Linked DNA regions of Stegostoma tigrinum. The protein of the gene in region 2 interacts with the protein of the main gene of each other region in a pairwise test. Links are inferred from orthologs where the notes say so. Each region holds a gene or a part of one and is shown on either strand. Other genes may lie near its edges.

Region 1 (10,288 bases), on a different chromosome or scaffold from region 2:
AGACGGAAAGTATTCAGCATGGAGCTCGGTGACCAGTGGTGTTCCGCAGGGATCTGTTCTGGGACCTCTGCTTTTTGCAATCTTTATAAATGACTTGAATGAGGAACTGGAAGGATGGGTTAGTAAGTTTGCTGACAACATGAAGGTTGGTGGAGTTGTGGACAGTGTAGAGGGTTGTTGTAGGTTCCAACAGGACATTGACAGGATACACAGCTGGACAAAAGTGGCAGATGGAATTCAACCCAGAAAAGTGTGAAGTGATTCATTCTGTAAGGTCAAACTTGATATGCAGAATATAGGCTTAATGAGTTTTGAGAAGATTTGTAGCTCAGGTTGAGTTTCTGGATGTGAGTTTGCTCGCTGAGCTGGAAGGTTCGTTTTCAGACGTTTCGTTACCATTCGAGGTAACATCAGTGAGCCTCTGATGAAGAGCTGGTGTTATGTCCCACTTTCTATTTATCTGTTTAGGTTTCCTTGGGTTGGTGATGACATTTCCTGTTCTTTTTCTCACAGGACGGTAGATTGGCTCCAAATCAATGTGTTTGTTGATGGAGTTCCGGTTGGAATGCCATGCTTCTAGGAATTCTCGTGCATGTCTCTGTTTGGCTTGTCCTAGGATGGATGTGTTGTCCCAATCAAAGTAGTGTCCTTCCTCATCTGTATGTAAGGATACTAGTGAGAGTGGGTCATGTCATCAAGACCCTATACAGACAACAAGCAAATCAAACATCATCTACGAAGTACCTTGCAAGAACTGTGACAAACACTACAGTGGACAAACAGGCAGAAAGCTAGCCACCAGGATACATGAACATCAACTAGCCACAAAACGACATGACCCACTATCACTAGTATCCTTACGTACAGATGAAGAAGGACACCACTTTGATTGGGACAACCCATCCATCCTAGGATAAGCCAAACAGAGACATGCACGAGAATTCCTAGAAGCATGGCATTCCAACCAGAACTCCATCAACAAACACATTGGCTCCAAATCAACAGACTAATATCCCCAACATCAGTGATAGCTAAGTTACTTGATAAGATTCTGAGAGATACGCTATATGTGGATTTAGAAAGAGGGTTTGATTAGGAGTAGTCAGCATGGATTTGTGCACGGGAGATCATGCTTCACATATTTGTTAAAGTTTGTTGATGAAGTGACCAGACAACTTGAAGAGGGTAGGACAGTAGTTTGTAGTCTATATGGATTTCAGCATGGCCTTTGGTAAAGTTCCATATGGAAGGCTGCTCTGGAATGTTAGATCGCATGGAATCTCTCAATCACAAACAAAATCACATTATTGTCACTTTGATGTTTGTGAATATCTGTGGATTGTAAATTGGCTGCTTTGTTTCCTGATTTGAAACAGTGCCCACTTCAAAAGTACTTCTGAAGAGCTTTGAGGTGTTTGCACATTGTAAAAAGTACAACACTTCATGGATTTTTGAAGTGATTTGAGTGTATCTGTTGCTAGTGCTCATTTAGGCACAGAGCTCAAAATCCTCATCACTCTGAATGAAGAAAAATTCTCTTGGATCTCTTCTAAACCTAAAATCCATACTCACTCACCCTAGCCACCCACACTCCTCCCATCCCCGTCTGTTCCATCCACGCCACTCACCCTGCCCACCCAACCCAACCCAACCTGTCCTCTTACACTGTCCCTCCCCATCCCGTACCATCACGCCACCCACACCCCTCCCCCTCACGCCACCCCAGCCGTCCCCTTCAGCCCACTAGCAACCCTCCCATCCCCTCACCCTTCCAGTCCCTTCACACCACCCCTGCACCTCCTGCCCCCTAATCCACTCACCCAGCCCCTGTACCTCCCATTCCCTCACCCCATGCCTCGTCCCCGCCCCGACCCTTCACCCAAATCCCATCCCCTCACCCCACCCCACCGTCCCCGTCCCCTCATCCCAGTCGGCCCATGCCCTGCCCACTCGGCCCGCACCGCCTCCCGTCCCACCCCCGGCCCCTCCCCCCCACCCCCTCCCTCCCCCCCCTCCCTCCGAGCCCTCCCCGCCCTCCCCGCCCCACCTCCCTCCCAGCCCTCCCCCGCAGCCCTCCCTCCCAGCCCTCCCCGCCCCACCTCCCTCCCAGCCCTCCCCGCCCCCTCCTCCCTGCCCCTCCCTCCGTCCCCGCGCCGCCCCCACCCTCTCCTCCCCGCCCCGCCCGCCCACCCCTCCCCGCCCCCCTCCCCTCCCCGCCCCCCCGTCCCCGCCCCCTCGTCCCCGCCCCTCCCTCCCCCCCTTCCCCGCCCCCCCTTCCCCCCCGCCCGCCCCCCCTTCCCCCCCGCCCCGCCCCCCCTTCCCCCTTCCACCCCGCCCCCCCTTCCCCCCTTCCACCCCGCCCCCCCTTCCACCCCGCCCCGCCCCCCTTCCACCCCGCCCCGCCCCGCCCCCCCTTCCCCCCCGCTCCGCCCCCCCTCCCTCCCCTCCCGCTCCGCCCCCCCTCCCGCTCCGCCCCCCCCCTCCCCGCCCCCCCTCCCGCTCCGCCCCCCCCTCCCTCCCCTCCCGCTCCGCCCCCCCCCTCCCGCTCCGCTCCCTCCCCTCCCGCTCCGCCCCCCCCTCCCGCTCCGCCCCCCCCCCTCCCGCTCCGCCCCCCCCTCCCCGCCCCCCCTCCCGCTCCGCCCCCCCTCCCCGCCCCCCCTCCCGCCCCCCCTCCCGCTCCGCCCCCCCCTCCCGCTCCGCCCCCCCTCCCGCTCCGCCCCCCCCTCCCCGCCCCTCCCGCTCCTCCCTCCCCTCCCCTCCCGCTCCTCCCTCCCCTCCCGCTCCGCCGCCCCCTCCCTCCCCTCCCCTCCCGCTCCGCCCCCCCCTCCCTCCCCTCCCCTCCCGCTCCGCCCCCCCCTCCCTCCCCTCCCCTCCCTCCCCGCCCCCCCCTCCCTCCCCTCCCCTCCCGCTCCGCCCCCCCCTCCCTCCCCTCCCCTCCCTCCCCGCCCCCCCCCTCCCTCCCCGCCCCCCCCTCCCCTCCCCGCCCCGCCCCCCCCTCCCCTCCCCCCCTCCCCTCCCCGCCCCCCCCTCCCTCCCCGCTCCGCCCCCCCTCCCCTCCCCGCCCCGCCCCCCCCTGCCCCCCCCTCCCCTCCCCGCCCCGCCCCCCCTCCCCTCCCCGCCCCGCCCTCCCCTCCCCGCCCCGCCCCCCCCTCCCCTCCCCGCCCCGCCCCCCCCTCCCCGCCCCGCCCCCCCCTCCCCTCCCCCCCCTCCCCTCCCCCGCCCCCCCCCTCCCCTCCCCGCCCCCCCCCCCCCTCCCCGCCCCCCCCTCCCCTCCCCCCCCTCCCCTCCCCCGCCCCCCCCCCTCCCCTCCCCGCCCCCCCCCCCCTCCCCGCCCCCCCCCCTCCCCGCTCCGCCCCCCCCTCCCCTCCCCGCTCCGCCCCCCCTCCCCTCCCCGCTCCGCCCCCCCCTCCCCTCCCCGCCCCGCTCCGCCCCCCCCCTCCCCTCCCCGCTCCGCCCCCCCCTCCCCTCCCCGCCCCGCTCCGCCCCCCCCTCCCCTCCCCGCCCCGCTCCGCCCCCCCCTCCCCTCCCCGCTCCGCCCCCCCCTCCCCTCCCCGCCCCGCTCCGCCCCCCCCTCCCCTCCCCGCTCCGCCCCCCCCTCCCCGCCCCGCCCCCCCCTCCCCTCCCCGCCCCGCCCCCCCCTCCCCGCCCCGCCCCCCCCTCCCCGCTCCGCCCCCCCCTCCCCTCCCCGCTCCGCCCCCCCCTCCCCGCCCCGCCCCCCCCTCCCCTCCCCGCCCCGCTCCGCCCCCCCCTCCCCTCCCCGCCCCCCCCCCCCTCCCCTCCCCGCCCCCCCCCCCCCTCCCCTCCCCGCCCCGCCCCCCCCTCCCCGCCCCGCCCCCCCCTCCCCGCCCCCCCCTCCCCTCCCCGCCCCGCCCCCCCCCCCCCTCCCCGCCCCGCCCCCCCCTCCCCGCCCCGCCCCGCCCTCCCCGCTCCGCCCCCCCCTCCCCTCCCCGCTCCGCCCTCCCCTCCCCGCTCCGCCCCCCCCTCCCCGCTCCGCCCCCCCCTCCCCGCTCCGCCCCCCCCTCCCCGCCCCGCCCCCCCCTCCCCTCCCCGCCCCGCCCCCCCCTCCCCGCCCCGCCCCCCCCTCCCCGCCCCGCCCCCCCTCCCCGCCCCGCCCCCCCTCCCCGCCCCGCCCCCCCCTCCCCTCCCCGCTCCGCCCCCCCCTCCCCTCCCCGCTCCGCCCCCCCCTCCCCTCCCCGCTCCGCCCCCCCCTCCCCTCCCCGCTCCGCCCCCCCTCCCCTCCCCGCTCCGCCCCCCCCTCCCCTCCCCGCTCCGCCCCCCCCTCCCCTCCCCGCTCCGCCCCCCCCCCCCTCCCCGCTCCGCCCCCCCCCCCCTCCCCACGTCCCGTCCACCTCGCCCCCTTCCCCTCTCCCCGTGTCCCGCCCCCACACCCTCACCCTTGCCCCCACTCCTCCCGACCTGCCCCTACATCTCCTGTCCCCTCAACCCATCCCTGCCCCTCCCGTCCTGCCAATTCTGCCTCGACTCCTCCCGCAACCCCCACCCCTCCTGTCCCCTCACCCTCAACCCACCACAACCCTTCCCTCGCCCCCGAACCCCCTTCCCTCGCCCCCGAACCCCCTTCCCTCACACACACACTTACCCATTGTCGGTCCTCACTCCTGCCTGACGGTTGTTGTTGTTATCGGGGCCGCGCGGCTGTTTCCAGAAACAACTCTGATCCAAGATGGCGGCAGCGCGCGGGGGCTCGCGGGGCCTTGGCTCCTGCAGGCGCGCGCAAATTGAAAACGGCAGCTTCTGCTCTCCGCCCCCACCGTTCACAGCAAAACCAGTACCAACTGTCTCGGATGAAGGGTCTTGATCTGAAACGTCAAACTTTCCTGCTCCTCTGATGTTGCTTGTCCTGCTGTGTTCATCCAGCTTCACACCGTGTAATCTCGGATGCTCCAGCATCGGCAGGTCCTACTATCTCTGTACCAACTGTCTATGTCACTTTTTATACTCTGTTTCACTCTCTGTCAGGAAACTATAACCAGAAGGAATCCATTCAGCTCTTGCAGGGTGGTCTATCGTCCATCAAGTTAATTTTTTTTAATTTTACAAAAGAGATCAGCTTCTACCTGTCACGTCTGTGCAGCTCGCTCGTGATTTTGAAAAACAGTATCAAATCTCCTCTTAAGATAATAAAATGTGGAGCCGGATGAACACAACAGGCCAAGCAGCATCTCAGGAGCACAAAAGCTGACGTTTCGGGCCTAGACCCTTCATCAGAGCTGGTCTAGGCCTGAAACGTCAGCTTTTGTGCTCCTGAGATGTTGCTTGTCCTGCTGTGTTCATTTAGCTCCACAGTTTATTATCTTGGATTCTCCAGCATCTGCAGTTCCCATTATCTCAAATCTCCTCTTAACCTTGTTCTCTCCAATTATAACACCCCAACTTCTTCAGCTTATAACTGATTTTTCTCATTCCTCGAATGATTCTTGCAAACTGAATGACCTAATTATCCTATATCTTATGATGCCCTGGTCTTATTTAACCTTAAAAGTTTCTCCCGTGTTAACCTTACCATCTTTCTCTGATCATAATTCGGCTGACTTACCTATTATTTCTTGTTCTCCGTTATTGCACTGTCTTTGACATTCAGTTAGTCACTTAGTACACTTTTCTAATTTGCAGGTTTTTAAGAAGCATTCCCCAATGGTAGTGGTCACCAGCCAATGAATTCACTAAATTTCCTGCAGTGTTACTCAGTTGGAGGGGGTGAGTCCAATGCTACCCTCAATTTCCTTTATAACCATGTTTGGCTTGTCCCCTTCCTAGAATTGTTCTGTCTGACTGGGACATATCTTTCCTGCAAATCATGAGCTATTTTCTTAAATGTCTGCAAATGTTTCTTAATTGTTTTGCTTTTATACCTCTTACACAGTCCACTCCAGCTAGCTTTGCTGTCATTCCTTGTAATCACCCTTATTTAAGTTTGGCACAGTTGTTTGTGACCCAAGTTCTCACTCTCAAACTGAATGTTATAGTTACTGTTTCCTATCAATCTATTACCCTGACCTCATTTATTGTGAGATTTAGATTCACATGCTCACAATCACAGAGTCAGTGGAGTCAAAGTCTTAGAAACAAGTAACCTAAGCTTTATTACAAGTCTGCAGAATCAGGTGCCTCCCATTGCCTGAGACACACACAGGCCAGGGAGCCTCCTCTTTTTATACATCATTTTTCCAGCCAGATCCTCCCCTTTTGGCTCCGTCCAATCTGAGCTCCAAGGTGCACAATCTTCCCGTTACTTCCCTTGTCCCACCCCCTTCATACATCGCATGTTATGTTAATTAAGCAGCTTCGCAAGCATGGGCATAAAAGTTAATATGCATTCTCTCATTAGGCATGCACTTCAACTATGTCTATTGTGCAAAGCTTGACCTTTTCACCCTCTGGGTGTCTGCTAGTAGTTTTGGACCAGTTCATTCTGGTTTCTAACCACTTGGCCCTCACCTCCTTTTCTTATCACGGCTCAGTACTAGATGTCTTTTGGTTCAAAGCTGAGTAATTCTTTTCACTGCAGTTTAATCATCCTTATCTCTCACAATCCACCCTTTTTCTTTTTGCTATGCATCATGATTAAACTGCACCTTGGGATCCCGTCCCTCGAACGCCCGGAGCATCCTCTGAATCTCTCTCTGCTGCATACTATCCTCCGATTGCAGAAGCCTTTGGCGGTGAATCTGGGTCACCCCTTCAAGGGATGTCATCAATCGGCTCAATACACATTTCAGGACATTGAGCCCCACCACCAGACCCACTAGTATCAGCAATCCATAAATGGCCAATTGACCAGCCACCGGTCAATCCCCAATTTCCCCATTCCCATCCTTTTTCGTTCCGGTACTTGTTACCGGCTTCCCTTACTTTGGCGATCTGGTCTCGCACGTGCTGGGAGATATCAGTAATATTTGGGGAGGTGTCAGGTATGTATGTACAACATTCTACCCCAATTAGTGCACAGGTACCGCCCTTTTTGGCTGGAACAATGTCTAGAGCCATCTGATTTTGAAGAGCCGTTAGCCTAGTGGCAATCGGCTCAGTGGTTATGGCCTCCACCCGGGATTGGGTATCGGCTAAAGCATCAGAAGTGTCGTTGGCCAACTCCTCCAGAGAGGCTGCCAGCTTCTGCATCTCTCTCCCTGATCGGGCAGTCCCATACATGGGTAACAAGGTCCAGAGGAGACAATCCCCCTCAGTTACTTTTCGGAGGTTACGTCTCCCTCCTCCTTGTCTCTGGTTTAGCTTAGGGGCCGCCCCAGGAGTCTCATATGTGGAACCAAATGGGCTAGGTAACAACAGCCACTTCATCCCTTTTGATCATGGGGCAAGGATCTCCCTCACCCGGACCCCTCCTCCCCTTGGTGTTGGTGCATGTCCCCGGGTAGATATGGATACGCCTTTTATGGCAAACCCAGCGTGTCCCATTCAAAACTTGGGGTAGGGTGGTGTCTAAGGCTAGAATGTTTAGTTTACAAGACAAATTCCCCAACTGGAACGGGGCTCTATCATTCCAGTTACAGAAACACGTTGAGTTAACCTGTCCCCCAGGTGGCGAAACTCTGAGACCGTCATTTGCACCTTGGGTCCCTGGGGCCGGCTGAGGAAACCATCCCTTGAAACTATAATTCCCCTTGCTCCTGTTCCACCTTCCCCAACGTGGCTACCAATTCCCGTGACTAGAATTCCATGCACCCCTGACCGATTCCCACGTATCATTTAAAGTGGAGGCAAACTGCAGCACCTCGCCTATTTCTTCTTTGGTCAGAGGAATTCTGGACTCCCCATGATGTGGGATTGCAGCACACACCCAGCAGTTGGTGCGCCCCGTTTGTCTAGCATAGTTTTGACATAAGCGGTAAAATGATTCTTTCCCTCTCCCCAGGCTACAATTAACAATAAAATAACAGTACAGTGTAAACCCTTCATTTTATCTTCTTCTTCAATTTTAACGTCAATGGGTTGTTCCCCTCCCGTGCCTCCCACTCTTCCTCAGCTGGCGGATCCACTGGTCCCTTTATCTGTGCTGCATGCGTCCACCCTTTTTCTTTCGTTCAGACTGCTGTCTCTGTTGTCAGCAGCACCAGGTATGGACCAGTTCACTGCAGCTGGAGTTTTTCTTCCTGCCACGACTTGACCAGAACCCAGTCTCCCGCCCTGATCGAGTGGATAGAAAAATCGAGAGGAGGACTCTGCGCCAACAGCCCTTTGGCCTTTAACTCTGTAAGGGAACGAGAGACTGCCAGTAAATAGTTCATTTGAAATACATCATTACCTTCAATAGTGGGCACCCCTTCTATCTTTCCCACGTATGGGAGCCCGAACAACATCTCGTAAGGGGACATCCCTATATCTCTGCGTGGAGCGGTGCGTATCCTGAGCAGAGCTATCGGCAAACATTTAGTCCAGGGAAGCTTCGTCTCTGCCATCAATTTTGTTATCTGAGTCTTTAGAGTGGCGTTCATTTGTTCGACCATTCCCGAGCTCTGTGGGTACCATGGTGCATGTAACTTACATTTCGTCCCTAAAGTGTCACAAGTCAGTTCATGTGTCCTGGAAGCAAAATGTGTTCCACAATCTGAGTTTAGGGACTTTATTATCCCATACCTGGGAATCACGTGTTCCAAGTGAATCTTGGCCACCACTTGGGACGTGGCACTGACGGCGGGAAAGGCTTCCACCCACCTGGTAAAGTGATCAACTATCACCAACAGGTACTTCCATCTCTGGACGCTGGGGATCTCAGTGAAATCCACTTGTATTCTTTGGAACGGTTGAATTGCCAATGGCTGTCCCCCTCCTGGCATGGCTGTCATCACTTTCTTATTTATCTTCTGACAAATTATACATCGAGAGACCGCTTGCTTTGCCAGAGTGAAGATCCCCCTACAGGCATACACCCGCAAGAGAGCATCACATAATGCTTGGGCTCCCCAGTGCGACTGTGAGTGCAGTTCTCCCAACAGTTCTCTGGTGATCTCCTTGCTCAACAGCTGTCTCCCATAAGGTAGCCACCACCTCCCATCTCTCGTCATCCTGGCTCCCAGCTCCTCCATTTGTCCTTCATCAAACACCGAGAACACCGGCACCTTCTTTACCCCCTTCTCTCAGGGGAATAAGGGACATCATCCGCACAGTCCCAGATTGGGCAGCTTGCCTTGCCACTTCATCTGCCAATCTGTTGCCCCTAGCCTCAGGCGAATTTCCCTTCTGATGTCCCGGGACATGCACCACTGCTATCTTTTCAGGTTTTAATAGGGCTTCCAAGGTCTTTTCAATAAGTTGTTCATGAGCTAGCTCTTTTCCTCTTGCTGTAATCATTCCTCGTTCCTTCCAGATCTTCCCAGAAGTGTGTACTACCCTGAACGCGTATTGAGTCAGCATATATAGTACCTTCTTGATCCTCCAATAATTCCAACGGTCTCACCAGAGCATATAGTTCACAGGATTGGGCAGACCAACCGCCAGGCAGTCTCCCGGACTCTACTTCGGTTTCCATGGTCCCATTGATGATGGCGTATCCATTGTATCTTTTTCCATCAATGCAGCGGGATGACCCATCTATAAACCACCTACACCCCTCTGCAAGGGGCTCCTCCTCCAGGTCCTCCCTGCTTTTTATCTGTAGCTCTATTACCTCACTGCAATCATGCTCCAGGTTCCCAGATTCTTCCCCTCCCTTGGGCGGATATAGGAACTGGGAAGGATTTAAGCTCTTGTCTGTGACGATGGTTAAATCGTCTTTTTCCATCAAAATAGCCTCATACTTCAATATCCTGGAATCTGTCAGCCATCGATGAGATTTCTGGGCCAGAAATCGTTCTGACAGTATGTGGGGTGGACACTACCAGGATTCCTCCAAACGTGAGCTTCCGACTTTCCTCAACCAGGATGGCCGTGGCTGCAATCGCTTGAAGGCACACCGGCCAGCCGCGGGATACTGGATCCAGAACCTTTGAGAGGAAAGCCATGGGGTGCTGCTGCCCTCCTCGTTCTGAGTTAGCACTCCCGAGGCTACCCCGTTCTCGGCATTTGCGAGCAAGTGGAAGGGTTGATTGATTGAGGGTAGAGCCAGAACCGGAGCGTTTACCAGGCTGTTTTTTTAAACGAGTGAACTCTTGTCGCTCCTGCGGAGTCCATGTTATCTTCTCATCTTCTCCTCCTAGTTTGTCATACAAAAACCTGACTCGTCGGGCGTATTCGTCAATCCACAATCTACAGTACCCAATGAGCCCTAGGAACCTTCTAATTTCTGTCCGACTCTTCGGTAGGGGCATACTAG
Region 2 (10,461 bases):
AGTGTCCAGGAAGAGGGCTTGCATTGGAGGCGGGAGAAGGGGTCAGTAAAGGGAGGGTTGGACTCACGGTTAGAGAAGTAAGCGCGGAGGCGGAGGAAGAACTGCTCAATGTCCAAATGTGACTGGTATTCATTGATGTGTGCGTGGAGGGGGACAAAGATGAGCCCCTTACTCAGGACTGACCATTTGTCCTCAGTCAGAGGGAGGTCTGGGGATATGCTGGCTGTGGAGGCTGTGGGCAGAGCAATGTCGGCATCAGCCGTGGGCGGAGTTACGTCGGTGTCGGCTGTGGGCAATGTTCTGTTGGCATCAGTGGAGTTGCATCGGCGGTGGACGGAGTTGCGTCCACGTCCGTGATGGGCGAAGCAGCATCAGCGGTGGGCGGAACGGGGTAGGCAGTGGCAGTAGTGGTGACGGTAATGTCTGTGGTGTTGGTTTTGGAAGTGGAGGCAGTAGCTACAGCAGTGATGGCGTTTGCTGTCCCAGAAGTGGTGTACCCGGCAGTGGCGGATCTGACGTCATCTGTGGGTTCTCCGACAGTGGCCTCATGGCGGCGGGTACATTGTCGGGAAGGTCCTGGGTATGGCTGGGGATTTGGGAGGCGGAGGAATCCCGTTCTAGGTGGCAGGGACCAGTGAGTTTACTGTACGTACGGATTTTTGTGTCCAATAAAGCTGAGTAGAATTGTGAGTTCAGGTTGTGGATCCTACGAAGAATAAAAAACAGGAGAGGTCCTTTGCAGGTCTGGGAGAGGGAGGTTCTGAGCTGGGGTAGGCTGGATTGCAGTGCCTGGAGATGCCGGCGCTTTGCTGCGAGTGTGTGTTTCATGAGTCACAGGGAGAAACGCTTCTGAAGGGTCTCAATGTTCTGGATGTAGATATGGTCACGGTTGGGGCCAAATTGGGAAGGCATGAATGTGGACTATAGTCCATTGGGGATGATCTGGTTCTGTAGGCGGGTACTAAGAAAGGTAATGTGGCTGTAGTACCTGGTTTGCTTCAGGACATGGTCGAGCAGTTTCAAGGCCGAAGAGATTACAAGGGAGTTGTACTGGGAGAGAGATCCCCTGAGGTTTGTCCAGAGGGAGGAGGGTAACTTCTCCAGGTTAGGCATCCCTAGAAGAGGCTTTGCAGTGAGATTAAAATTGTATCAGAGATAATGGGAACTGCAGATGCTGGAGAATCCGAGATAACAAAGTGTGGAGCTGGATGAACACAGCAGGCCAAGCAGCATCTTAGGAGCACAAAAGCTGACATTTCTGGTTGAGACCCTTCATCAGAAAAGGGGGAGGGGGAGAGGGTTCTGAAATAAATAGGGAGAGAACATTTACAGTTGCTTCATCAATGACCTTCTCTCCATCATAAGGTCAGAAGTGACTGATGACTGCAGTGTTCAGCACCATTAGTGACTCCTCAGGTACTGAAATAGTCCATGTCCAAATGCAACAAGATCTAGACAATATGAGGCTTGGGCTGACAAGTGGCAATTAACATTCACGCCACACAAATGCCAGACATTGGCCAACTCCAATAAGAGACAATCTAAGCACCATCCCTTGACATTCAATGGTGTTACCATCACTGAATCCCCCACTATCAACATCCTTGGAGTTCCCATTAACCAGAAACTCAACTGGACTCACCTTATCAATGTACTTACAAAAGCAAGTCTGAGGCTAGTAATACTGCAATGAGTAACTCCTCTCCAGTCTCTCAAAAGCTTGCTCACCATCTACTTGGCACAACTCAGGAGTGTAATGGAATACTCCCTACTTGCTTGGTTAACGGCAGCTCCTACAACATTCATAAATCTTGACACCATCCAGCACAAAGCAGCTTGCTTGATAGGCACCACATCCAAAAGCATCCATTCCCTCCGCTACCAATGCTCAGTAATAGCAGTGTATATTATTTGCAAGATATAGTGCAGAAATTCATCAGGGCTCCTTAAATAGCATCATGCAAACCCATGGCCATTTCCATTTGGGAGGAAAAGGGCAGCAACACATGGGAACACCACCAACTGCAAGGTGCCCTCCAAATCACTTAAGATCTTGACTGGGAAATACATTGTTAGAAATCACGCAACACCAGGTTATAGTCCAACAGGTTTATTTGAAATCGCAACTTTTTAAGTGCTGCTCCTTTATCAGGTGAAGTGGCACCACCTCAAAAGCTTGTGATTTCAAATAAACCTGTTGGATTATAACTTGGTGTCACAGCACTTTTGACTTGGTCCAACACCGGAATCTCTGCATCATGGAAATACATTGCTGTTTCTTCACTACTACTGAGTCAAAATCCTAGAATTCTTTCCCTAGGGGCATTATGGTTCCACCTATAACACATGGACCGCAGTGGTTCAAGAAGGCAGCTCACCAACACCTTCTAAAAGGCAGCTAGGGACAGGAAATAAATGCTGGCCAACCAGCAACGTCCAAATCCTATGAGTGAATAAATAATGTTGAGTAATCTCAATGTGACGACAGAACTTTGTTTCCACAAGGACTGTGCGGTGGCCACTCTTATCGATACTGTCACAGACAGACATATCTAAGGGAGGCAGATTGGAGAGGATTACATCAAATATGCTTTTCCCTCTTGCACACTAGGGCTTCACCTGCTACAGATCGAGTTAACAGATGTGACCAGTTCCGGCAGTGGTGGTGTTACTAAGCCTGCCTTGTGATAGACATTGAAATTCCCAAACCCAGAATACATTCTGCAACCTTGCTACTCTCGGTGTTTCCTCCAGGTGAACATGAAGAAGCACTGATTCATCATCTTAGGAGGCGAGGTGTGTTACTGGTAGTCAGCAGGAGTTTCTTTGCCCATTTTGACCCCTACATCCTGGGATTTTATGTGATTGAGAGTCAATGATGAAGACTTTGAGGGTAATTTCCTCCCAACTCAATATGCCCTGCCACTTGGATGGGATATATCAAATGACAATACTAATGTGACCTAATAAATGTGTTTGAGTGGTGTAGATAGTGGTACAGTAATATGGATACCATGGTTATAGATTGTGCCTTGAGGTTGACAAACAGGTTTTCTGGTTGCAATTGTTAGTATTTCTAATGTCGTTGAGATGATACAACCACAGGAATAAATGACTGAGAAAACCTCACACAACTTAAGTTCAAATCTGTTTTAAACTTCATCTGTGTATTTTGTCCTTGATTTCCAGGGAATGTCCTGTAGAACCTCAGCATGACTTCCCAACTCCTAGACTCAAAGGAATGAGCGATGAAGGCAAGTATGCCAAACACCTTTTTAACCCCTGTCCATATACCCATCTTGAACCCATAACTTGTAGCTCAGAGACAAGGACACCACTATTCTGCCACAAGAGCCACTATATCCATTCAAATACTTATTTGCAAAAGCAATACTAAATAAATAAAAATCAAACAGCTCATTAGGGCACTGGAACTGAAATGAAAACTGGAGGATCAAATCAAAATGTAGTGGTTGGGGGAAATAACACACCTCAGCCCCACATGGATCCTAAAAGCTGCAACCATGCTGTGTGCTCCCTCTCGAAGGTTACCTGGCTGAACATAATCTCAAGCACGACTGTTTTAAGGCTGCAGGTGGCATTGACTGTCAGCAAGATGTTCCCTGTGCATTTTTCTCCTATTTAAAGATCAGTTCAATGACAAAATTATGGTTGTCAGGAAATGTGATAACTCAGAGTTAGGTCTATTTTAAAGTTGTATTTTATCTCTATTGACGCATATGTGGATTTTGTTTATAGAACATAGAAAATTACAGCACAGTACAGGCCCTTTGGCCCTCTGTTGTGCCGACGTGTCATACCATTCTGAAGCCCATCTAACCTACACTATTCCATGTACGTCCATATGCTTGTCCAACGACGACTTAAATGTACTTAAAGTTGGCGAATATACTACCGTTGCAGGCAAAGTGTTCCATACCCTTACTACGCTCTGAGTAAAGTAACTACCTCTGACATCTGTCCTATATCTTTCACCCCTCAATTTAAAGCTATGCCCCCTCATGCTCGCTGTCACCATCCTAGGAAAAAGGCTCTCGCTATCCACCCTATCTAACCCTCTGATTATCTTATGTCTCAATTAAGTCACCTCTCAACCTGCTTCTCTCTAACGAAAACAGCCTCAAGTCCCTCAGCCTTTCCTCGTAAGACCTTCCCTCCATACCAGGCAACATCCTAGTAAATCTCCTCTGCACCCTTTCCAAAGCTTCCACATCTTTCTTATAATGCAGTGACCAGAACTGTATGCAATACTCAAAGTGCGGCCGCACCAGAGTTTTGTACAGCTGCAGCATAACCTCTTGGTTCCGGAACTTGATCCCTCTATTAATAAAAGCTAAAACACTGTATGCCTTCTTAACAACGCTGTCAACCTGGGTGGCAACTTTCAAGGATCTGTGTACATGGACACCGAGATCTCTCTGCTCATCTACACTACCAAGAATGTTACCATTAGCCCAGTACTTTGCATTCCGGTTACTCCTACCAAAGTGCATCACCTCACACTTGTCCGCATTAAACTCCATTTGCCACCTCTCAGCCCAGCTCTGCAGCTTACCTATCTATGTCTCTCTATAACCTACAACATCCTTTGTCACTATCCACAGCTCCAACGACCTTAGTGTCGTCTGCAAATTTACTAACCCATCCATCTACGCCCTCATCCAGGCCGTTTATAAAAATGACGAACAGCAGTGGACCCAACACCGACCCTTGCTGTACACGACTAGTAACTGGAATCCAGGATGAACATTTCCCATCAACCACCACACTCTGTCTTCTTTCAGCAAGCCAATTTCCGATCCAAACTGCTATATCTCCCACAATCCCATTCCTCCGCATTTTGTAAATAGCCTACTGTGGGGAACCTTATCGAAAGCCTTGCTGAAATCCATATACACCACATCAACCGGTTTACTCTCATCTATGTGTTTGGTCACCTTCTCAAAGAACGCAATAAGGTTTGTGAGGCACGACCTACCCTTCACAAAACCGTGCTGACTATCCCTGATCAAATTATTCTTTTCTAGATGATTATAAATCCTATCTCTTGTAACATTTTCCAACACTTTACCAACAACTGAAGTAAGGCTCACTGGTCTATAATAACCAGGATTGTCTCTACTCCCGTTCCTGAACAGGGGAACCACATTTGCTATCCTCCAGTCTTCTGGCCCTATTCCTGTAGACAATGACGAGGTAAACATCAATGCCAAAGGCTCGGCAATCTCCCCTCTGGCTCCCCAGAGGATCCTGGGATAAATCCCATCCGGCCCAGGGGACTTATCTATTTCCACACTCTGTAGGATGTCTGATACCTCTTCCTTGTGAACCGCAATCCCACCTACTCTAGTAGCCTGTATCTCAGTATTCTCCTCAACAACATTGTCGTTTTCTAGAGTGAATACTGTTGAAAAATATTAATTTAGTGCTTCCCCTATCTCCTCTGATTCCACACACAGCTTCCCACTACTGTCCGTGATTGGCCCCAGATACTAAATATGTAATCCACCACAGAAACTTGACGGTCTGCCATATCCAGATATATATCTATTCCTGTATAAAACATGCTCAATGATTGAGATTCCACAGCTTTCTAATTCAAAGAAAGCCAAGTATTTACCAACCTCTGAGTGCGCAAACTCCTCCCATCACAGTCTTAAGTGACCGATTCCCTAATCTGAGACTCTATATCCCTGGTTCTAGACTCACCAGCCAGGAGAAACATTCAATCTATATGCACCTTGTTATACCTTATAAGAATTTTTGTAAGTTTCAATGAGATTACCTCTGATTTTTCAAAACTCGATAGAATACGTGTCTAGTTTCCTCAATCTCTCCTCATTAGAAAACCCCATCATCCCAGTGATTAGTCTGGTGAAAATCCCTTTGCACTCTTTCTATGATATATATGTTCTTCTTTCGGGAGAGTTCTTGTGTTGCAGCCGTGGTGTCCCAACTTTTCTGAGTCAGAAAGCCTGGGTTCAGGTTCCACGTGCTCCAAAACGAAAATGAAAGAATTGCGGATGCTGTGAATCGGAAACAAAAACAGAAAAAGAGTTCAGCACCTGTGAAGATAAATTAGAGTTAATGTTTTGGGTCAAGTGGCCCTTCCTCAGAATTGCTGGACAGATTGATTAAAATAGCCACCCTTTCTTAGGAGATCAAACTGTATATGGCACTCCAAGCATGGCCTCACTCGAGCTCTATAAAATTGGAGGAAGAATTACAAGAGATAGTAGGAACTGCAGATGCTGGAGAATCTGAGATAACAAGGTGTTCTGAAGAAGGGTCTAGACCAGAATGTCAGCTTTCCTGCTTCTGTGATGCTGCTTGGCCTGCTGTGTTCATCGAGTTCTACACCTTGTTATCTCTTGAATTACAAGTGCCAGTTTCTCTGATGCTTGGTTTCCAGATACTTTCCATCGAATGAGCACAGTTGAACATTTCCAGTGTTCACCAATAGGCTTCCAAAGTGAAGCTGAAGAGACACCAACAGGAGATGCCCTTAGTCCTGTGTCAGTGGTTCTGTGGAGGAAGCATGCGCACGTCCCGCCCACCGGCACAAAATGGCGGAACAGGAGCACAGCTGAAAGCGCGAGAAGGGGCTGAGGGAAGGAGTGTGGAATCACATAATACAATCATTCGGCATTCAATAGGGGAAATCAGACTGTAACCTTCGAAAGGCCTTACCAGCACCGAGCGACCGGCTTGTCGACAAGGGCAGATTCACCTACCGCAGCCAGGTGAGCCAAGCTAACCTTATGTGCTCGCACTGAGAATTCACATATTCACAGGGGAAGCCGTTGGTTTGCGTCGCTCCAGAAAAAAGTGAAACGGTCTATGAGATTAAATAAACTCATGTAGGGTGCGGGGTAGGTTTATATTTGATGCTTGGCGTCTTTTGTGGGTGCAGAAGCTGAGGGACATATTTTGAATACAAGGGTAAAACGACATTTCATTGCGGCCTGGCCTCGCTGTGAGGACTGATCGTTTGGTCTCCCCTATGTTTATTTGATCAAAACCATTTCTAGCCATTTTCATCAGCCGTGAACCCGAGCATGGTGCTGGACGGTTTGAATTATCTCGCTGGGATCGTGTTGGAGTGGTCCTGGCCGCTCATTTTTAAAACGCACATTCATCTTGGGGTAGCAACGAGTCGAACAAACTTGCTGGTTTTAGACCCGCCTTTGGCTCCTGCCGCCTGCTGATTGGTCAGCTCCTTGTCAATCAAAGCCGGCTGCACCGATGTCATGTTCGGTTGCGCGGCTTCTCCTGGCCACATGCCCCTGTTCACCCACAGTGAGGGCGCCTCTAACCCCCTGGAAGGCATTAACATTATGCTTCCAACCCCTTTAATGAAGAGGCTTTTTAAAATCAAAATATTTTAAGTTAAATATCCTCCAACCGATAAAGGAAGTGATCTCCCGCTCGTTGGTCTGCCCCGGGGAGTTCACTAGGTTCCCAGTGGTGGGAACAGAAAGACATTCTCTCCTCGAAACAGTCGGGAGAGGCCCAGTGTGCACTTTGGTAAATTTACATCCGAACGTTGAAGTTTTCGGACAATTTCACAATGCGTTGTGCTGTGAGCTTATACGTTGCCCAATACAAACCCGGAAGTTCTCAGACTCGACTCATGAGTTATCAGAATAGTATGGAGAGAAAGCAAACTAACGTTTCGAGTCCAGATGACTTCTCTTTAGTTCTGAGTTATCTAGACCCGAAACGTTACCTTGCGCTCTCTCTCTCCATGGATGCGGCCTGGCCCGCTTTGATCTCCAGCATTTTATTTTTGTTTTCAGTACAGATTCCAGCATCTGCAGTAATTTTTGTATCAGAATAGTTGCTTCACATAATTTGGAGCAACATCGTCCATGGTGTGACTTTTGTGCTGCACACATAACCTAAATTATCTTCGTTCTCATTTCTGTCATTTAACTACGAGGTCATTTGGCTAGTTATTTTTGTGGGAGGTTATTCGATTTTATTTCTGAGAACGTTCTTTCCTAACATTTAAACATCGCTGGCAAGGTATTTTATTCCCAAATCTCATTGCCCACAGGAAGATTTTTGAGTTGATTTAATCCAGCCTATCTTGTGTGTTGTAGGTACACTCATAGCGCTGTTTTTAGGGAGCATTCTCGGGTGCAGAATTGATTGTGAAAAGATGCTGATTATAGTTTCACGTCAGGATAGTGGCTGGCTTGGGGAATTTGCAGGCGGGAATGTTTTTGTCTGCTGCCCTTGTTTTTCTCAACGACCAAGATGTTGTAGTTTATCTGGTCTACAATACACATTGCTGCTATTGACTCTCAATCAGTGGTGGATGAGGTGACTTTCTCCACCCCATGTTGAATGTCAAGTGATGTTAGTTTCTGTATTGAAGAGGATCACTACTCAGCACTTGTGGCCTGAATGTTACTTGATACTTGTCAGGATCGCACTCTGTCACACTCACTGTAAAGAACAGCCACTGTTTTCCCCTTGTGGCCATTCTTTTGTCTATCGTTGGACCATAGCTGTATTGAGGCCTGGAACTGAGAGGCTTTACGAGAACTCAAACTGAGCATCAATGAGGATGTTAGAGGATGTTATTGCTGTGCAAGAGCTGCGTGATGGCACTGTTGACAACATCTCCTCTCACTTTGCCAGTGTTCAAATGTAGACTAATGAGGGCTAGAATGGTGATCTCATGCTTTTTGTGTGCAGGTCAAATATAGGCTTTTTTCATATTTTCAGGTAGATGTTATCTGAAGCTGCTAGATATTTCATAATTCAGCTGTTCAGGTGTTATTGTGTGTTACATTGGAAATGCAGAATCCATTTGATGTTTCCTTTCTGCGGTAGGCTATTTATTTAACTTATTGTGGTAGAACATTAGCAAGGTCAGAGAGAGCTGCAGTGTAAGCTTATTCACCTAGCTTTGCGGTCTAGCTTGTTTTAGCATTTGTTCTAGCATTTTGCTTAACTATAGATGTTCTGACATGGTTGTTGAAGAAAAACCATGCTGCTTGTCTTTGAATGATTTTCCAGTTTGTTTGCAAGGTGGGCTCAGTAGGGGTCCCAGACTGTTCCTGTGCTAGCCAGTTTGGAACATACCAAGCCTTAAGTACCAGTCTAGAGTTTTATTGTATTTAGTTAGATATTTCCTTTTAAAAATTCTAGGATTTTGTTTGTGTTACAGCACTTCATTTTTTTTGGTGAATTGATGTCACTGAGGGAGAACACCAAGATACAAGTTTGTTTGATGGATGCGAGGTTGATTTCCCACTGTTGCCTGCACCTTTATTGCATGTAATTTGTGGCATTTTGATATATTAATTATGCAACTTAACTGTAGGACTATTACAGGCATATCTAAGTCATGGTACATGAGACAATCTGTAAACAGCCTGATGTTTGGAGTTGGGACGAATTTTATATCCAACACTTTGTGTACTCCAGTTCCCTGGGGAATATGCAGCGTAACTGGTATTGAATGTGATGTTTTTGCCATCAGCACATGAAATTTGGCTAATGAAAATTCAAATAACTCTAGATGTTCACTACTTATCCTGTAACTAGTTGACTTTGGCTGGTAGGATATTACATGAAGCCATTTAGAACTCCCTAATGTACTCGTTTAAGATTGACTCTTTTTTTCACTGTGTACAAGGATTTCCTGGTAGAACTGTGTTCGATTTTGAGGGAAAAAAAGTGATCAGTTGGCCTCCTGAATATGATTTTAGTATACACACTTGTTTAATCAGTCTTAATTTAGGCAATATTTAGTGCCCTGGCAAATGAATTAATGTGAAAAGGCATACTTGTATTTCAACTGGTTATGAACACAGATGGCTGTGTTGTTTGGAATAGTTGAGTACTTTAAGCAATGTCATCAGTTATCTTCTATTTAAGATTCACATTTTAAACAGTCAATTTTCACACTGAAGGATGATATACGGCAGCATTCCACAGGTGTCAATGCCTTTCTCCATGTATTTAAATAATGTAGTAACTGGCCACAATTTCACTTTCACAGTACTTCCAAGTTTTGTGTCGGAACATAGTTGTAAACTCATGTAAAGGGCAGACAGGTAGCAAATGAAATTTTACTGCAGAGAAATATGAAGTGATACATTTTGGTAGGAAGAATAAGGAGCCAATGGGTGAAAGAGCAGTGGGGCTTGATGATAAATATGCAGAAATTGTTGATGCTTACAGGGCCAATTGAAGATAGTGTCTGGTAAAGCATACAGAATCCTGGACTTTATGTGTAAAAGCTTAGAGTGCGAAAACAAGATATGGTGAATTTGTATAAAACACTGGTTTTACCTCACCTGGATTATTGGGTAATTCTTTGGCAGACTTTTTTAGAATAATGGAGGATTTAGGAAGATGCAAGAAAGATTTAAAATTAATATTTCTTGAGATGGAGGACACAGTTATTGGTGAAACAGAAGT
Region 3 (10,833 bases), on a different chromosome or scaffold from region 2:
CCAGAAAGTGTCCACCATCTACAAGGCACAAGTCAGGAGCGTGATGGAACACACTCCACTTGCCTGGAGGGATGCATACCAACTGCACTCAAAAAGATTGAGAACTTCCAGAACGAAGCAGCACACTTGATTGACAACACATCCACAAGCATCCATTCCATCCACCGCTGACAGTCAGTAGCAGCAGTGTGTACTATCTGCAAGACGCACTGCAGAAATTTGCCAAAGATCCTCAGACAACAACTTCCAAACCCACAACCACATCCATCTAGGAGGACGAGGGCCGTAGATACATGGGAACACCATTTGTTACATGCTCTCCAAGCCACTTGCCATCCCGGCTTGGAAATATAGCGCCGTTTCTTTACGGTCACTAGGTCAAAATCCTGGAATTCTCCCCATAATGGCATTGTGGGTCAACTCACTGTAGGTGGACTGTGGTGGTTCAAGGTCAACCCCATCTTCTCAAGACAAAGTAGGGACAGGCAATAAATGTTGGTCAGCTAGCGATGCCCACAAATTAATTTTCAAAAAATGTAACTTGTGAAATATGCATTTGTTCCTATTTACTTAACACTTAAAATAGAGAAAAATGGCACGAAATTTCACAAGATTTCCCATTATGGTATTATTTTCCATTCAACCAAAACTAGAGAGATTCCTGGACAGTAGAATAGAACAGGAAATCAACTGCAACAATGAGACAGAAAACCCAGACATTAAACAAAGGATGCAGGAGTTGTACATACTTTCATCGGTCCATAATTTAAGTGTCCACCTACTCTTGATGATTAGAATACATTATGCTAGAAATAGTAAAAGCCCATCCTCTCATTCCAGCTCTGTGATTTTCTCAGAAACTGCTATTCAATTCTGGGTTTATTTTTCACTTCTTACCAACTTATAAACATACATACTTATAAGTGAGATTCGAGATTCCATAAGAATATTAATTTTAAAGACTAGACATGCGAATATTTGCTTGTACTTATGAACAGCTGTTTTATACTGTACTGAATTGTGTTCGGCTTGTACACAAATCGACTTATGAACATATTCAGACGGAACCTGTTCGTAACCCAGGGACTGCCCTTATTTGGACTTGCACAGATGCAATATTATAATTAATCAATATCCTCAATAATGATCAACCTTCCATTAAACTTAAAACCACATTTCAAAGGAAAGCATCGATTTACCAGCCATCGCTGCGTTTAAATTGTCTTAAGACAATGTGTAAAAGGAATCCTTATTGCCTTGTTCTGGCAATCCACCCTTCCTACTCCCGTAACATCATTCTGGCAGGCTCCTGTTCCTTCTCCCTTCTCTCCTTCCCTTCCCTCCAATAGTAAGAACTCTCCACAGCACTGCATTCAGCCCAAGATTCTCACCTTTTGACAACAGTTTCCGAAACTTCTGTGTGGCTGCAAGTTGCTGGTCAGGATCTTCTGAAAAGATCATCTGTACCATTTCTACTGTGATTACACCTTCCTACAATAGAAGACATTTAAGATTGGACACTTCAGTGTTTAGAAATTCTGTTCAACACAGACAAAAACATTCTTGTTCTTTCTACTTACGCCAGGTAAAGAGACTACAGTAGAGCTTATATCGGGGTCTTGAATGGGGCTTTCAAACATGGCTTCATCACTTCCAGGAACTGCCACATTCCTGCGCTTGAACAACTGGAACACAAGCAGGAAAAAAAAGCAATCAAATGAAGGCATGAACCAGATCTACTTATCAAAAAACTTTTACAGAACTATGATCACATACACACCTGCTCTTCCCTTTTCTGTTTCCGTAACTGGATACCTTCTTCTTCTCGTCGTCTTCGCATTTCCTGAGTGTTTAATGCTTTGTTCTTGTAGCTTCTCATCCTGTAGTTATCTTTTACTGGGCTTGCCATGCCTGTATTTAAACATTCCCAATATGATCAAATAAACCTTACAGCTGTAAAAGCACCATAATGGATAGATTTTCACCTTAAATAAAAAGGCAATCACGCTTTTAAAAAAAACTATGATTGATGTCATATCTCAAAGTATACTAATTTTAATTCATACTTTTTTGAAATGTTGAAAACATTCCAATTTTTCAGAACTTGTAACTTCCAGTAAACCTTTAAAACTAAAATATTTAAGGCTACGTATTTCACAAATATGTGCCTTTATTTTAGGACATTCAATTACTACTGTTCTCTCTGCCTCCCTAGTCTAAGTCCCTTTTAAAAGCACAGGCTTTGACGAAATGATTTAACTTTAAAACAATTGGAGAATGTTTCAGCAACTCTGTTGTGTTCTGGCTACTTGCAATTTTTATAACTTAATTTATCCATCACTAGATCAAATGGTATATCCTACATACTGAAGCTCCAGATGTTTAAGAAAAACTGGAAATATCAACCGGTTCCCCAGCAAACAATTATTTTCTAACTCTTAAGAAACAGTTCAGTGAGAGAATGGGTTGTTAGAACAGAAATTTCAGTTAATAAACAATGTAGAAATAAAGAGAAAATATAATAAACAAATTAATCTGTCAACAGAATTCTAGCTGGAAAATAATAAGAGTCAGTAATTAGCATGGTTCCATTAAATCTTCAACTCTTGGCGCCTGCAATGTGCTTAAATCACAATAGACAACCTCCCCGAGACTGTCAGATATATAAAAAGGCCGGAAGCAGTTGGCAACACGGAAAGAGACAACGGTTGAAAATACAGTAATTGACTACAGGGATAGTAGGAACTGCCGATGCTGGAGAATCTGAGATAACACGGTGTGAAGCTGGATGAACACAGCAGGCCAAGCAGCAGAGGAGCAGCAAAGTTGACGTTTCGGGTCGAGACCCTTCTGACTATCCCTGACTACAGGAATCGGTTGGAGAAGCCAGAAGGTGTTATCATTGTGGATCCCAATTTTCTGAGCCCTACTCTTTTAAAACACAATAGATGCTACTCCTCTAATATTTTTGTACTTTCTAACCATCAGTGTTACGTAACTCCTTTCCAGACCCTCAGGAAGACATATCTGAGATGGGGATGACAGGGTAGTGAAGATGGCATTTAATACTCCTGCCTTTATTGGTCAGTGCACGAGTATAGGAGCTGGGAGGAGGACATGTTGTGGCCGTGCAGGACATTGGTCAGGCCACCTTTGGAATACTGCATTCAATTCTGGTCTTCCCACAATAGGAAAGATGTTGTGGAACTTGAAGGGGTTCAGAAAAAATTTACAAGGATGTTGCCAGAATTTGGAGGATTTCAGCTATAGGGAAAGGCTGGGGCTATTTACTCTAAAGCACTGAAGGTGGAGGGGTGAACTTATAGAGGGGCATGAATAAAGTGAATGGACAAGTTTTCTTCCATCAGGGTAGGGGAGTCCAAAACTGGAGGGTATAGGCTTAAGGTGAGAGGGGAAAGATTTAAAAGAGACCGGTGGGGCAGCCTTTTCATTGACAGTGGTATGTGTATGGAATGAGCTGGCAGGGGTGGAGGAAGCAGCTGGTAGTTACAATATTTAAAATCCATCTGGATGGGTACACAAATAGGAAGGGTTTAGAGGGAAAAGGGCCAAATGCTGGTAAATGGTGCTATATTAATTTAGGATATCTGATTGGTAGTTACAAGTTGGGCCAAAGGGTCTGTTTCCATGTTGTATATATCTCTACAACTTTAAGACAGTTGCCACTTTGACTTTCTGCACTTGATTCACAATTTCTTGGACTCCACACATTACTCAAACTCCCTAAATATCACTCCTACAATCCCTGACAGAAGTGCTCAAACCACCAAATGTTATAACCTAATTTGAACATTGGTCTAATTTAAACATGAACGCTCTAATATATCCAGAGTTTGTCTACTGCAACTAGCAATCTTCAGATGATGCAGGACATTGTACATTTCATATAGCCATGACATGAAAACTCGGTATAAAAACCTCTGACCAGAAAAAGTAGTATTAGAACTCAGAACTGTAGCATGACAGTTCAAGTTTTTATTACAATAGAATCGGTTACTTTGGACCAAATAAAAAATCTTTTCCTTTACTTTCAGTCTCCACCGACCCCGACCCCACCCCCCCGGAGGTTTCGGACAGGATCAAACTACATCCCTAGCTTCCACATACCGACCACAGCCCACCTTTGTACCGCTATGACTGGGCGGGTGAAGCAAGTCGTCCACCTCACTTGTAAATACTGTGCCAATTACTAGAATAAAACCTGCGATTTTAAACGACCGGCTGAAGAATCTTGAGGGGTAGACGAGGACGGAGCTTGGAGAAAAAGTGGCGATTCGCCTTTGGAAACGGTGAAGAACCTCTGTCTCCTTCTTCGCCGCCACCCCACACACTCGGAGAATCAGAGGGTTCTCCAGAGAATACCCACGGCCCGGGGAGACACGGCAAATGCGGCCCGCTAGTTAAAGGCCGAAGTGCAAGTGCAGGGTGTGGAGCGTCCTAGACTTTGGGGACGGCCTATCACAGAGAACGCCATGGCTGAGGGTCCCGACGAAGAAGGCCTCGGCGTTGGCGGCCGGAGAGCCTCCGGGGACGAAGGAGGGAGGAGAAGCAGGAAGGAGCTCACCTGCAGCTGTCGCTCGCTTCTCCGAGCTCTCGCCCACCGACCGTTAGACCCTTAGACCCGAACCCACAATATGGCGGCAGCGCGGATGCAGCGATCCCAACAGCCACCTCGACACCGACGCACTATCTGCGTCTGCGCACCCTCAACAGCTCTTCTCTCCCCGACCAATCGTTTACGACTCCGCCAACTCGCTTCCAAATTAAAGCCCTCTTCTCAAGTTTGATTATCGTACTTTCCATTTCACAAAACAAAACTAACATATTCGTCCGATTACGGGATTGCTATTTTTGAAAAAGGGTCGTAGTCTTACCACCCCAACATGAAAATCCTCATACCGGAAGTGATGGAGTGGGGGAATCTTTTTGCTGTGACACACTGGCGATTGACAAAAAACTGCCATCTCCACCGGAGATAATGGGAACTGCAGATGCTGGAGAATTCCAAGATAATAAAATGTGAGGCTGGATGAGCACAGCAGGCCAAGCAGCATCTCAGGAGCACAAAAGCTGACGTTTCGGGCCGAGACCCTTCATCAGAGAGGCGTATCCACCGGAAGAGGGAACACCGTGCGCTTGCGCAGTAGTGGAGAAAGCAGTTAGACGAAATACCACAGCCACTGCTCAATTGTGGGAAAAGAGAAGTTTTGCCCTGAGTCTCAGCCCTAGCCATAAGTGGGGTTGGCCAGCGACGGACGCAAATAATTAGAAGTTAAAGTCACGATACAAGGTGTATCTTATGGTTCCAAGACAGCTAGGGTCAAGGAGTTAGTTCTTGTCTGTCGGCCAGGCTGTGAAAAGAAAGTCAAGGAAGGCCTGTGTACTGGTAAGGAAGGCGGTATCTCTTAATCACCATTTGATGTAAGGGTCAACCGTCTTCACCCTTTGGATTCCAGTGGTAAAGTAAGTGACTGCTGAAGCCGACCTGGGTCCAAAAGACTCTACTGCAGATAGGATAGGAAATCACAGGCATTTGAGTTTTGAACGAGTTTGCTGGACAGAAGATCCACTTTGGTAAGCAGCTGTGAAGAATTCCGGTTGGATGACCAGCCCGATTCAGTTGTGATTATGTCAATATGATGTGGATGCTTGACATGCCAGCTAGGATGAGCACCTCAGTGGCTGAGTATTCTGCCCTGCCATGTGATTTTCAGAAAAGCTCAATCCCAATTTGGGTTCAAGTGTTTGAACGTCTTAGTATAACACTGGTATACCATCCATATCTCGTGTATATAGAGCAGAATGGGGCAGAACTATTCCTGTGGTTTTGAAGAAGAGCAATACCTGACATGAAACTTTAACCCTATTTGTCTGCACAGATGCTGTCAGACTTCCTGAATTTCTCAAGCCTTCTGTGTTTGTTTACCTTGCTTTCAGCAATTTCTGGTGCTGCTCTTGGCACATTGTCCTGCATACTTTGAACCCGGGTTGATCCCTTGCTTGATGTTAAATGAAGTGATGGATATGCCAAGCAATGAGGCTATCAGTTCTGGTGGAATGCAGTTCTGCTGCTGATGGGCCATAGCAGCTCACGGAGCTCAATTTGAATTGCTTGAGCTCTTCACCGTAACACGATTGAGTGTACGTGATGGGACTTAATCAGCGTGGATTTATGTGGTGGTCATTCCTGCTAACAAGGTGAAGAATAGATGCATCTGTGATGGATAGATTGGTAAGGATGAGTGAAAGTAAATCATTTCCCATCACTACCAGCCACAAACCCATTCTAGCAGTTATAGTTTTTAGAAATCAGTCATTAGTGGTGCTACTGAGCCACTGGTTCCTTTACATGGTACATTCTGCTACTGTTTGTACTTGTTTGGTTATCAGAAGTTTTCCTTGTCCATCCTTTCTAGATTTATTGTGTGAAATTTAAATTTGACCACCTCTTGAGACGGAATTCTACAGTACTAATCTGGAACTCTGAATTACATTATTATTACCTCACAACATCACATTGAGAAGATACCAAACCTCATGTGGTAAACTGAGGGTAATACCAATCAACTGCAGTGTTACATGGATAGGTTAGCAGAATGGACAGAAAGTTGCCAAGTGGAATTTAGCACTGAGAAGCACCATGTGTATTTTGATGGAAGGGATAAGGAGAGTCAATATAGCCTGAATGACATGGTTCTAAAGGATCTTTAGACACGAAAAGACCTCGGTATTTGTGTGCATAGATTTTTGATAGCGTCCAGACATATTGATAGATTAGTTGACAAGGCATAATGACTTTTGCTTCATAATTGAAGATAAAAGGACAGGAATTAATTCTAGGATAACACAGTGTGGAGCTGGAGGAACACAGATGGCCAGGGAGCATCAGAGGAGCAGGAAAGTTGACTAAAACCTGAGACCAGTCTCTCTTGGTCTTTGTATTAGCAGTTAAGGGAACAACATTTATTTTTCTGTTTTATCTAAAGCTGTGTTGCAGTCTTCTAGGTTGTAATTTCCCTACAACCTGTCTCTTGTCAACTTTCCTGCTCCTCTGATGCTGCCTGGTCTGCTGTGTTCCTCCAGCTCCACGCTGTTATCTCCAACTCCAGCATCTGCAGTTCTTGCTATTTCTGAGGAATTTATTCTGTATTTTTCTTATAAATCTCTGGATGGATCCACTTAGAGTACTGTGTATAGTTACGGTCATGCTTTTTAGAAAGGATATGAAGATCTTTGAAAGGTGCAGAGGAGAATGGTTGCAGAATTGAGGGATTTTAGATACTGTTAGATTGGAGATGTTGAGATTGTTTCTCTTGTTCCAAGAGAAAGGTTATAGGGAAATTACAACCTAGAAGACTGCAACGCAGCTTTAGATAAAACAGCAGAATAAAAGCTGTTCCCTTAGCTGATATACAAGGACTAGAAGAGACTGACATAAGGGCAAGCAGTACTGGGGAATGTGAGAAAGAACCTTTTTATGCTGTGAGTTGTAGTAAGCTGGAACTTGCTAGATGCAAGATGACAAATTATTTCAGAAGGAAATTTGACCAACACTTAAATACTTCCAGGGCTAACTGGATGGAGCAGGGGAGTAGGACTGATTGACTTACTGTCGGGGGTGCCATCATGAACTAAATGGCCTCCTGTGTTGTAATGACTGTTGTGACTAATCAAGTTTCAGGAATTAAATATAAGAACATAAAATAACAGGTAATTGGCAAAAAATGTGGACTGAAGCACAGAAAATAAAATCTAACTGAACTTCTTGATTACTTCCTTGTGTAGTGCAGAGCTATCGGGGGAAGGCAGATCATGCCCACTCTTCACAGTAATTAGCTGTTGTGTTCTGAAATTTAAAGGTCTAGACAAACATTTTGATAGCTGCTGTCAAAAGGTAAGTGCATAAAGTAAGTATGATGTTAGCTTGACTGGTAAGTAGAGGTAAATAATGTGCCAGAGGTAGAGGGGAAAGGGTGCCATTTGGGAAAAGGGAGAAGGTAGCATCAGTACCGGGGTAGGTGATGTTTAGGGTTGGATCTGACTAGTTGATTTATTGTTGTCATGTACTGAGATACAATGAAAAGTTTGGTTTTACATACTATACAGGCCGATTGTACTGTACAAAATGCATCAGGATGACAGACAGAGCACAGAATACAGTGTTACAGCTGCAGAGAAGGTGCAGAGAGAGAGAGAGAGAGAGAGAGATCAATATTAACATTTGAGAAACCCATTCAAAAGTCTGGGGAAAAGTTGTTTTTGAATCTGTTCATATGTGTACTGAAACTTTTACAACTTCTGCTGGATAGAAGCATTTGGAAGACTGAATAACTGTGGCGGGAGGGATCTTTATTATTTTGATTACTTCCTTTAGGCAGCAGGAAGTATGGTTGGAGTCAGTGTATTGAAGGCTGGTTTGCATAATGGACCGGGCTATGTTCACAACTCTGTAGTTTCTTGTGGTGTTGTGAACAGCAGTTACCATACTACGCTTTGGTGCATTGTTGTGCTTTCTTGACCATCGCATTGACGTGGGTGAACCAGGACAGATTGGTGATCATCACTCCCAGGAACTTGATGCTCTCAACCATCTCCACGTCGGCATGATTGATGCAGAAGGGGTGTGCCTTCCTCTTTGCTTCTTGAAATCGATGATCAGCACCTTTGTTTTGCTGATGTTGATGGAGAGATTGTTGTCTTTACACCATGCTGCTAAGCACTGTATGTCTTTCCTGTATTCCGTGTATTCATTGTTTGAGATTTGACCTATAATAGTAGTGGGGTCAGCAAACTTTTAAATGGATTTGGGGCAGAATTTGGCTGCACAATTGTTACTGTGTTAGGAGTATAGTTGGGGGATAAGTATGCAGTATTGAAGATTGTGCTGGAAAAGATGTTGTTGCCCATTCTTATTGATTGCAATCTATGGGTCAGGAAGTCAAGAATACAGTTACAGAAAGAGGATCTGAGACCTAGGTCTCTGAGTTTAGAGATAGGTTTGCTTCGAATTATGGTGCTGAAGGCAGAACTGTAGTCAGTAAGTAGGAGCCTAACATGTGTATCCTTGTTATCCAGATGTTCCAGGGATAAGAGTAGGGCCAGGGAGATAGCATCTGTCATGGGCCCGTCATGCTGGTAGGTAAATTGCAAAGGATCAAATCAATCTAGTAGGCTGGAGTTGATGCACGCCATGATTAACATCTCAAAGCACTTCATAATAATGGAAGTTAGAGCCACCGAGCAGTAGTCATTGAGGCATACTGCATAATTTATCTTTGGCACTGAGATGATGGTGGTCTTATTGAAAAAGTTGGGGACTTCAGATCATAGTAAGGCGAAGTTTAAAAATGTCAGCAAATACTCCCACCAGCTGGTCTGCCCAGGATCTGAGTGTGCTGCAGGGGACCATATCTGGCCAGTTGCTTTCCATGGGTTCACTGTCAAGGCCAAACTAACATCTTCAGTGGTGCCATGGGTACAGGTACGTCCGAGGTTATTGGCACATATGACATAGTTTCACTGATCTTCCGCTCAAAGTGAGCGTAGAATGCATTGAGCTGTTGGGTAGGGATGTATTGTTGCGTGCGATGCTGTTCGACTTTGCTTTGTAGTCTATTGTGTCATGTAAGCCTTGCCACAGATGATGGGTATCCATGTGGTTGGTTTGGATCTCGAGTATAGTCTAGTATTGCTGCTTGGCATCTCTGACCTTACAGAGGTCGTACCTGGATTTCCTGTATAGGTTAGGATTGTCCAACTTCTATGCCTCAGATCTGGACTTCAGTGGGGAGCGGATCTCCTAGTTCATCCGTGGTTTCTAATTGGGAACATTCAGATTAACTTCTTCAGCACGCAATCTTCTACACACTTGGAAATGAACTCTGTAATGGTAGTGGCATACTCATTCAGGTTAGCCACTGAGATCTTCAAGTGTGGTTAGTGGATAAATGAAATTGGGACCAGCTGGGAAATGGGGGTTCAAGTTTGGCAGGGGGAAGTGAGTTCAGGTCTGATGGTGGGAAAAGGAGTGTCAGGTCAAAGTTTGGGGACAGCGTTTCCTGTAAGTTGTGCAGCTGATGGGAAGCCCCATGCATGTTTATCAGCATGACAATGCATGGTTTCCAATTCCCAAAACTGCTGCCCCAAATGGACTATGGAGGTTTGCATAGTAGCGAAAAGAATTATTGGGGGAATGATGACTGGGAGTTTGCAACTGGCATGGTAAAGGTGTAGTTGGGGTGTGTATGATAAGTATGGGACTACTTTAATATTACTCAGGAATTGGGTGATGTATCAAATTTTTCCTGAGTAGCTATTTACTTAATTTTGTCAGTCAAATGCAGCCTTGATGTCAAGTGTAGTTATTCTTGGTAATAATATAGAACAGTAATAGAACAGAACATTACAGCACAGTACAGGCCCTTCGGCCCACGATGTTGTGCTGACCTGAAGCCCATCTAACCTACACTATTCCATGTACATCCATATGCTTATCCAATGACGACTTAAATGTACCTAAAGTTGGCAAATCTACTACTGTTGCAGGCAAAGCGTTCCATTCCCTTACTTCTGAGTAAAGAAACTACCTCTGACATCTGTCCTATATCTTTCACCCGTCAATTTAAAGCTATGCCCCCTCGTGCTCGCCATCACCATCCTAGGAAAAAAGGCTCTCCCTATCCACCCTATCTAACCCTCTGATTATTTTATGTCTAATTAAGTCACCTCTCAACCTTCTCTAATGAAAACAGCCTAATCTAAATCAAAACAGGTTTTAGGATTCTAGAATCCTAGTGGAAGCAGACCATTAGG

What was found.
Region 1: the proteins of nup50 (region 2) and importin subunit alpha-7 interact in binary tests that used the Homo sapiens proteins (3 or more experiments, as listed by UniProt). The two-hybrid records come from large-scale screens. The link is inferred for Stegostoma tigrinum from reciprocal best matches to the Homo sapiens genes NUP50 and KPNA6.
Region 3: the proteins of nup50 (region 2) and kpna5 interact in binary tests that used the Homo sapiens proteins (3 or more experiments, as listed by UniProt). The two-hybrid records come from large-scale screens. The link is inferred for Stegostoma tigrinum from reciprocal best matches to the Homo sapiens genes NUP50 and KPNA5.

What each region holds. Positions count from the first base shown.
Region 1 is NC_081377.1:47,827,522-47,837,809, forward strand, and holds the start of importin subunit alpha-7, read right to left. Parts: upstream 4,707-10,288; 5' UTR 4,605-4,706; coding exon 4,601-4,604; intron 1-4,600. UniProt on the Homo sapiens protein: Functions in nuclear protein import as an adapter protein for nuclear receptor KPNB1. Binds specifically and directly to substrates containing either a simple or bipartite NLS motif.
Region 2 is NC_081371.1:18,011,503-18,021,963, forward strand, and holds the start of nup50 (nuclear pore complex protein Nup50), read left to right. Parts: upstream 1-6,562; 5' UTR 6,563-6,764; intron 6,765-10,461. UniProt on the Homo sapiens protein: Component of the nuclear pore complex that has a direct role in nuclear protein import. Actively displaces NLSs from importin-alpha, and facilitates disassembly of the importin-alpha:beta-cargo complex and importin recycling.
Region 3 is NC_081357.1:56,760,590-56,771,422, forward strand, and holds the start of kpna5 (importin subunit alpha-6), read right to left. Parts: upstream 4,719-10,833; 5' UTR 4,586-4,718; intron 1,912-4,585; 5' UTR 1,910-1,911; coding exon 1,781-1,909; intron 1,686-1,780; coding exon 1,581-1,685; intron 1,492-1,580; coding exon 1,392-1,491; intron 1-1,391. UniProt on the Homo sapiens protein: Functions in nuclear protein import as an adapter protein for nuclear receptor KPNB1. Binds specifically and directly to substrates containing either a simple or bipartite NLS motif.